Oryctolagus cuniculus: one gene and its partner. The protein of the gene in region 2 interacts with the protein of the main gene of each other region in a pairwise test. Links are inferred from orthologs where the notes say so. Each region holds a gene or a part of one and is shown on either strand. Other genes may lie near its edges. The genes, in order: RPP14 and RPP30.

Region 1 (4,505 bases), on a different chromosome or scaffold from region 2:
CCCCTCTTCTCCATCACTCTGCCTCCAAATAAATAACCTTTAAAAATTAAAATGCTATTTTTCACACTTTTAATAAGAATATGACTTATTTTAAAGTGACTTCTTAGGACAGCAACTTATCTAATTCTGGTCAAATGCAGGTCACCCCACAGATACAAGGAAGCTGCTATATTGTTCAATATGCCAGACCACTGCCCTCACTTCCACCTCAGTAACAAGCCAGCTCCCATTTCTCCTTACTAAGCACCCAGTGTGCACTACGCACTGCACATGCCTTAGCTTCTGCGCCTTCAAAGCGATTTTATGAGGCAGACACTATTACCACCCTCATGGCTAGCGCCTGGCCCAGGCTCTACCTACTCTGCCATGGCAAGACTGCCCTGGAATGGTGCCTCTGGATCCAGAGGAAAAAAATGAAAACATAAAGGAGCCAAACCTGAGACCTGCGGGCCCCTTTCTGGTTTACTCTGAGTCAGCCCAGAGCACGAACAAGCAGCTGGCTGCCCCCCTTCCAGGTGAACCTGCTCTCGGTCCAGGGTCAGGTCTGGGCAGGACCACCTGGCAGCTCCGTGAGAGACTGAGGAATTCCTGGAATGGGCACTCAGAGCCATTGCTGAGGTCTGGGCCTTCCGAGAACTCAGAGCACGCTCGAGGCCCGCAGAGTGCTGCCCTCCAGTTCCTCTTCCCCCGGCCTCCCCCTCGAGCCCTTCTGCCGCCCTCTCGGGAATGCTCACGTTATAGGACGTCTTGACACTGCTTGTTTGCTTAGTATCTGGGCTCCCCGCTGCCGAGACCCAGAAACTGAGGCCCAAGCACAGAGAAGAACTAAGCCAAGGTCACAGAGATCCAGACGAGCATTTTCAAAACCTCTCAGGTTCAGGCCCATTTCCAGACGAAGAGCCCAGAGACAAGCACAAGCCGGACGGCAGGAGCTCCATCCACACATCCATTCAACAGACCTCAGCATTTTCTGTGTCTGGCTTGGAGGACACAGAGCTCAGAGAACGGCGGCAGCGGGGGACCCTATGTTCAACTGCGCCTCTGGCTTCAGGACAGCACAGTGACCGTCCACCTGCCCCCAGAGCCCCGCCTAACCAGAAGCGCAAAAACAGCAAAAATCGCATCTACTTCTTTCAGTGCCTGGCACATGACAGGTGCTTTCTCAAGTATTTCCAAGTGCTTCGAAGGAGTTGCTGACCCTGGGCATTTGGGAGATGGATACCGATGGTGGCTGCCCAACAGTCAGAATGCACTTAATGCCACCTAACTGCACACAACAATGGATCAGGCCAGCGCCGCGGCTCACTAGGCTAATCCTCCGCCTTGCGGCGCCGGCACACCGGGTTCTAGTCCCGGTCGGGGCGCCGGATTCTGTCCCGGTTGCCCCTCTTCCAGGCCAGCTCTCTGCTGTGGCCCGGGAGTGCAGTGGAGGATGGCCCAGGTGCTTGGGCCCTGCACCCCATGGGAGACCAGGAAAAGCACCTGGCTCCTGGCTTTGGATCAGCGCGGTGCGCCGGCCGCAGCGCGCCAGCCATGGTGGCCATTGGAGGGTGAACCAATGGCAAAGGAAGACCTTTCTCTCTGTCTCTCTCTCTCACTGTCCACTCTGCCTGTCAAAAAATAAAAATAAATAAAAAAAAAACAATGGATCAAACGATGTTTTACCTTACACATATATTACCAAAAAAAAAAGAAACAAACAAACAAAACAAAACACCTCTCCAAACTCATGGAACACATGAGCTCGCCAAAAACCGGACTCCTCAGTGACACCAGCGCCCTCTGCAGGCTGTTCTGAAAGTAAAGATGAGCCTGGCACGGCCCCCAGGCCCGCCACCAAACGGAAGCACGCCTGGAGTCACGGTCCACTTCCCCTCTGAAGCCAGCCTTCTCAGGGGCGGCAGGGAAGCCTAGAAACTGCTCTGTCGGTACCAAGGGTCTCCGATTCCGCCCCTGTGCCCCTCCCCCGCAGCCACAGAATCTACCAGACCCCACTCTCCGGATCTGTCTAGAGCGAGGCCAGACTCCGGGTGCGCCTGCCGGGAGGCCCTTCCCGCACCCCGCACCGCTGCTCCCGCCACGGCCCGCACTCGTCCCTTCCAGCACACGGGCCGCGCACGCACCAGGCTCTCCCGCCAGTTACGCACCGCCCTTCCTCCCGCCGCCTCCTTCTAGGCCTCCCCGACTCCCCTCCACGTGGCCCGGTGCCCATCCTAACACCGCGACGACCCCCGGCCCCGCCTCGGGCCCTGTTCGCCCCCCACCCCCCACCCCGGGCGTCTGCCAGCTAGTAACAGACCCGCAATTCACGTTCTCTCTCCCCCTCCTCCTCTCCTTGCCCCGGCAGGGTGTCCACGGCTCCGTCCGGCTCACTGCCCTTCTCCAGGGACCGACAATAGGGCCCCGCATACGGCAGGCGGTCTCCACACTTTCACTCAATTATTTCAACAAATCAACCCCCAGCGACTTAGGGACCTGCGTTTTCCATCGTTTCCAAGTGGCGACCGCCGCTGATGCAGCACACTGTCCCCTGGGCCCGCTTAGTCCTCCCGGCCGCCCGGCGCGGCCGAGACCGACACCGGGGAGGACGATCGGCTGGAGCCCCCCAGCACCTCCTCCGGCCTGGCTCCTCCCTCCCGGTCGCTCTACCCCGGCGCACGCGCCCGGGGACACCCGCGCGGCCGACTGAGCGCACGTCCGGAACACAACAGCCGCCCCAGGGCTTCCGCCTACCTGCTCTCGGTTGGACGAGCAAGACTCCTCCTCTGACTCCGGGTTCGCTCCGAATATCCGCCAAGGTCTGGAGCCCCTAAGGGACTGCCAGCGCCTGGGCCCGGCAAACTCCCGGTAAGTTTTCGTTTGGCTTGTTCCTGTCCCGCCCCCGGAAGCGTGCCGTCCTGGCGGATGTGACGTCACCGCGCGGCGTCCGCCCCAGGACCCATGGGTGAATCCTCCTCGGGATGTGAGCCCTGCGGAGCTCAGCGCCCTCTGGTGTCCACTCGGGAGAAACCTGGGGGCGCCCCGGGTGCTCGGAGTGCGGGTCGTGAGGTGTGTGTATGCAGCCCCGCAGAGTGCTTCATGGCATTCATTTATTCATGCATTCGGTTTTTCAGCCAGTAGATGTCTAGCATCTCCGCTGCTTAACTTCTGCTGTACCCAGCACCTCCCAAAGACGGACAGCACCTTCCCTCAGTGTCCCCTGTGGTTGCCAGCACATAGGAGGTGCTCTGAGTGGACACGAAAAGACCCACCTGGTCCTGTTTGCAAACGTAAGCCAAGCTTCATCCATACGTTTGTTCACTAACACCGCGCTGAGTGCCTGTTGTGCACTCAGCACTATTCTTGTCTGTGGTTTTTTTTTATTTTTTTATTTTTTATTTTTTGACAGGCAGAGTGGACAGTGAGAGAGAGAGACAGAGAGAAAGGTCTTCCTTTGCCGTTGGTTTACCCTCCAATGGCCGCCGCGGCCAGCGCGCTGATCCGAAGGCAGGAGCCAGGAGCCAGGTGCTTTTCCTGGTCTCCCATGGGGTGCAGGGCCCAGGCACCTGGGCCATCCTCCACTGCACTCCCGGGCCACAGCAGAGAGCTGGCCTGGAAGAGGGGCAACCGGGACAGAATCCGGCGCCCCGACCGGGACTGGAACCCGGTGTGCCGGCGCCGCTAGGCGGAGGATTAGCCTAGTGAGCCGCGGCGCCGGCCTTTTTATTTTTTATTTTTATTTTTTTTCAGATTTATGATTTGGAAAGGCAGAGTGAAAGAGAGATCTTCCACTCCTTGGTTCTCGCCCCGAATTGCCACAACAGCCACTAGGCGGACACCAAAAGCCCAGAACTCCGTCTGGGTCTCCCACACCGGTGACAGCAGCCCAAGGACCCAGGCCATCATCTGCTGAGTTCTCAGATGCATTAGCAGGGAGCTGGATCAGAAGCAGAGCAGCCAGGAGTCAGAGCAGTGCTCTGACGTGGGATGCCAGCGTCCGTTGCTGCCCCACAGTGCCAGCCCTAGGTGCTGGGAATTCTGGGTGCTGGGAATTCGGTGGACTTATTTAATAATAACAAAAACAATAATAACAACGGTGAGTATTTCTCAAGTGCTTAATGTGCGCCAGGCACTATGCAAAAAATTCTACACAGGTCACCTTGTGGAACCACCTCACAGTCCTGAGGTAGCTATTATAACCATGCAGGAGTGAAAACTGAAGCACAGATAGGCTAAGCGATTTGCCCAAGACGACGCAGTGAGAAGTGGTGGAACGGGCTGTCAGGTTCTAGCCGGCGCTCTCCCCGCTGCACTGAGGATTGGGTGGGAGGGAAGCTGCAGCATAAGCCCCCTGAGGACAGGGCCTTGTCTGCGTTGGCTCAGCGCTGCCAGTGCACCCACTCAGCATGCATTCACAGAATGCATTCGTTCATAAACGAGAGATGCTGATCCTGCTTTGGTTGGGAGTGTGGGGCGGCCAGTGTTGCCTTGCACAGCCAAGCCTGAGCCTGGGTCAGTGAGGCCCT
Region 2 (4,442 bases):
TAGTAAGATGTTATCTTTACTCTCTAGGAATTTATAATGCAACCAAAGGAAAAAACATGTACACATGTTAAGCTACACAGTGAGGTTATTCAAAAGTTGTAGGGCTTCGGGAAAGAAGAAATCAAACAAGTACTGAATCCACAGTTGGAATGTCTCATGGAACAGTTGAGCGTTGGTGGAAAGGTAACAGAAGCGTGGAGAGGAAGGCATGGTTCAGGCCAGAGAACGGCACACAGACTGGGTATGCCTGAACTCACTATTACACTTCCTAAAGAAAAAACACCAACCTGCACAATCGGCAATGTTGTGAAGAGTTCAGAAACAGCTATTGGCTTTTCAATTTCCTACAAGAAAAGATAAGTGGTTACCCAAGACTGTACATGTTAACAACACAAGACATCATGGAATACTTACAAGGAGTTTTTCTTTGGGAAAAAATAATCAAACAAACAAACAAACAGATGGTAAAGAAAAAGAGCCAGAGAACAGAGAAGCAGCTGAGAAATCTATGCACAGGAGGGAAAAAAACTGATTTTTTTAGACTGAAATAATCTATAAGATACAATTGTCGGCCTAAAGAAAAAATTTATGTTGTAGAGGGAAATTGGTTAATGAGTCCATGACAATAAAATAAAGAAGAGTCAATCTTGTGATTATAGTTCAAGTCAATACCAGTGCACTTTTGAAACACATAAGAAATATGTTCACATGAACACATGACAATTCCAACATATTAACTTCAGAAATATAATTTTACCTGTTTCTTTTCCTTAAAGTCAACAACATGATTGATGGCAACAACTGAATAGCCGACTGGAAAGAAAATGGAATATTCTTGTTATGAAACGAGGCAATCTCTCCTTGTACCCACAGACCCATGCTGACTCTAGACCTCAAGACCAGAAGGCAGGTTAGCACCGTGGTTATGGCTGCAAACTCCAGTGTGAGACCGTCTACTAACTCCTACGCCCGTCAAGGGAATTAGACAGCTCCTGGCCTATGGACAGCTACTCTGAGTTACTATCAGCAAGGCCTTTAGCTGCGCTTTTCCTGTCCACCCATCAGACTCTTTCACGTCCCTTTGTCCATTCTCATCCTGCCGACCTTCCTGCTCTCCACTGCCACCTTTTTCTCACTTGGCTCTCTGCCTGCTTCCTGCAGAGACCCCTCACCCAGGCAGTGAGGATTCCCTCGCACCACTGCCCACCCCAACACACGAGGAACTCTTTGGGAGCAGGGGCTCGCTTTATGAGTATGCGTGGATTTCAAGTTTTTTGCGCCTCAATACATTTTTTTATTCCACTTTCCATGAAGTATCCTCATACCATTCTCATCAGAGAGCAAGCTCCGTTCTGGACGTTTGGGCTACCTACCTGACTCCCACCTAGAGGAGGCAACGCTTACTACACCCTGGAAAGTTCACCTCAGAGGAACCATCAAAGATACATGTGCTAATTGGCCGGGCTCGTCCTATCTACCCTCCCTGCCGCCTGAGGAGGAATGCCTTGGGAGGCAATGCTAACAATGGCTGCGCGGAAAAGACGGTCCTGGCCCTACGATACTTCGTAAGGGGCCACGAAGAAATGGCACCATTCACCTTGGCAAGGAGTGGTTGTTTCTAGCACCAGTCATCAGCGCTCACAGGAGCTGAGAACGGTCCCCGGAGGAACAGATCCAACCGCACGCACCTCTACCCTTTAACCTCGCCAGTCCCACACTCGAAGAAAACTGAAGCCATGACGAACCTCAGTCATTGCACAGGTCTCGTCTCTTAGGGCTTCCCTTCCATTGAAAAGTTGAGTGGCGTCCCGCCCTTCGGGTCACGCCGGCCCCCGCCCACCATGTCCTCCGCCCCTACCCTCTAAAGAACACTGCCCCAGCTCCCCCTCTCCCACCTTCTCCCTCTTCTCTGAGCCTCGACAGCACTCCCTGTCCGGACCCTCGTTTCCCGCCTTTGTTCAGCCACTGTGAAGGGTCAGGAAGGGCTGAGCGTAAAAGACTCTACACTTGGAGCCCGGCCTCCCTGCCTTCTGCCATCCATCAGCCGCGAGGCAAATCTTCAGGAACATCCTAGAAACTCCAGAGGGGCAACTCACGGTGAGCAGCGGTCTCCACCAGCCCGCGGAGAGACTTCAGGTCCGAACCCGCTCGCAGGTCCAAGTCCGCAAACACCGCCATGCTGCAGTCCCACGAAACCCCACACGCACACTCCTCTGCGCAGCCGCCGAGCCCGCCCCCCTGGGGCATGCTGGGAGTTGTAGTTTACGTGTGCCGTGGACTGTAGTTTCCAGCTTGCGGATTGACCATTTATTTTTAGGGATCCGCAGGGATTTGTCTTCCCTCCAAGTATCACCAGTGTCTTGAAATCAAGTCTCACCGCAATGCTTGGTGTTTTTCCGAATGAGGCAGCTTGGTTTTCCCTGTAGGGGGTCGAAGCTCTTGACTCCCATAAAACGATGTAGAAAGTGAATCTTTGGACCAGACGCTTCTGCTAAGCGTTGGAAGCGTCTCGGAGTTTTGAACGGTCGAAGCGCGCTGTTCTCTGTTGTCTGATCTTCAGCCACAAGAGGGCAGGGCTCGCTCCAGGAGGAGCGGTCTGCACTCACGCGGGCTTAGCCGAAGGCGATTTGGAGTAGGAAAGTGCAAACTGGAAATGTTTTGCAATTTTCTATGTGAAAAGTGTACGAGATAGTGTGTAGCCCGCGCATCGGAGGTTTCCACTCCTTTGCACTTGGTTCCATGACTTTGTACACTGCTGGATCCGTTCGCCGACAGCACAGAGTCGTGGGACTGCCGTGCGACTTACATCCGTGCGTGTGAAACTGTCCGTGACACCCGGCAGGTCCTCGCTGTGCCCCACCCCGCTTCCTCATGCAATCCCAGTGAGCGCCTCAGGGACTAAGCAACTCACCAGCAGGGAAGCTCCCCGAACTCGGCTGCAGGAGAGTCACCTGACCAGGAGCGCGGATATGCGGACAATGCCAAAGCGCTCCAACGTTTCTAAAGGCTTTCAGTCTCTGTATTTGTTGATCACAAACTGTACACAGAGAAGTCTCTGGTCTTAGGCCCACGCCTCATGTAGTACTTGTTTACTTACTGGTCTCCTTGAGTTCCTTATTGGTCTCCCAAGGGAATTTTCAGGACTCTGTTCCTTGTAGAAGCCTGCATTTCCCCTCTTGGTTACCTTTGGCCTCTTTCAATACTCGGTAATTCCTAAGAACAGAAGACGATATTATTCCTGCAAATGGAATGAGGTCACACAAAACTAAGCCTTGCTTTTATCAGAAAATCTCGCATTAATTTTGCAGGACTATACTGGCATCTTTTTCCTCTGCACCTGTGCTTAGGGGAAAAAGCAAGAGAAAGGATTATGCTCAGGGATGGTCAATCTTTTGTTTTTAAACATACACTTAACACTCAGACTTTTTTTTTTAAAGGATGTATTTATTTATTTGAAAGGAAGAATGGGAAAATGGAGAGGGAGAGGAAAGGGAGAGGGAGAGAGATAGGGAGAAACATCTTCCATTTGCTGCTTTACTCCCCAGATGGCCACAACAACCCAGGGCTGGGCCAGGCTAAAGCCAGGAGCATGGAACTGGATCCTTGAGTGGGTGGCAGGTGCCCAGGTACTTGGCATCCTCTTTTGCTCTTTTTTATCCCCAAGTGCATTAGCAGTAAGCTGGATTAGAAACGGAACAGCCAGGACTTGAACCAGTGCTCTGATATGGGATGCTGGCACTGCAAGTAGCAATTTAATCCACTGAGCCACAATGCTGGACCCAGGACAGCCAGGTTTCTAAATCACTGTGGAGGTATCTTATTTAGTTTTCAAAGAAGGTGTGTAAATACTATTAAAAATCCTCTTTTTAAATTGGAGAAATCTAAGGCTTAGGCAACAATGGTAGAACTGCATGTGAATCAAAGTATTTGGTTAAGTTCTTGCCTAGTGTGCTACCTCCTAAGCAAACCAAACAAAGGGGAGAGTTGTGGAGGAAGGCGAAAGGGGAGAATAAGAGGGAATTGAAGAAGGGAAGGCAGAGCAACAGGGGAGAAAAGGAGAGAGGAAAGGGAACAGGGAGGGAAGGGAAGGCAGGAGATGCAAGAAGAGAGGAAGGGGTGGGAAGAGTGGAAAGACAAGAGGGAACACGGGAGGTGAGCAGGGATTAGAGGTGAGAAGTTGCTCTAGAGGTGTGACTTAGGTAGCAAGGATCTCACCAACCAACAGCCTCACAGACACACCCAGCATAACTGAACAAATACCTGAGCACCGCATGGCCTCGTCCGGTGCACACATCAGATTAATCATCACAGTGATGCTGCCTGGAACATTAAGTGAACAAAATTTCCCAGGCAACAAAAACATTTTACCACTGGCAAGCTCACAAGGCATTTTTATTAGAGGGGCCAGTTCCTAAACAGCATTTACAAATGTAATTCCTATA

What was found.
Region 1: the proteins of RPP30 (region 2) and RPP14 interact in binary tests that used the Homo sapiens proteins (3 or more experiments, as listed by UniProt). The link is inferred for Oryctolagus cuniculus from reciprocal best matches to the Homo sapiens genes RPP30 and RPP14.

The regions. Positions count from the first base shown.
Region 1 is NC_091441.1:91,676,582-91,681,086, forward strand, and holds the start of RPP14 (ribonuclease P protein subunit p14), read right to left. Parts: upstream 2,909-4,505; 5' UTR 2,734-2,908; exon of another isoform or gene 2,300-2,733; intron 1-2,299. UniProt on the Homo sapiens protein: Component of ribonuclease P, a ribonucleoprotein complex that generates mature tRNA molecules by cleaving their 5'-ends.
Region 2 is NC_091446.1:39,534,371-39,538,812, forward strand, and holds the start of RPP30 (ribonuclease P protein subunit p30), read right to left. Parts: upstream 3,086-4,442; 5' UTR 2,248-3,085; coding exon 2,097-2,247; intron 814-2,096; coding exon 758-813; intron 345-757; coding exon 288-344; intron 1-287. UniProt on the Homo sapiens protein: Component of ribonuclease P, a ribonucleoprotein complex that generates mature tRNA molecules by cleaving their 5'-ends. Also a component of the MRP ribonuclease complex, which cleaves pre-rRNA sequences.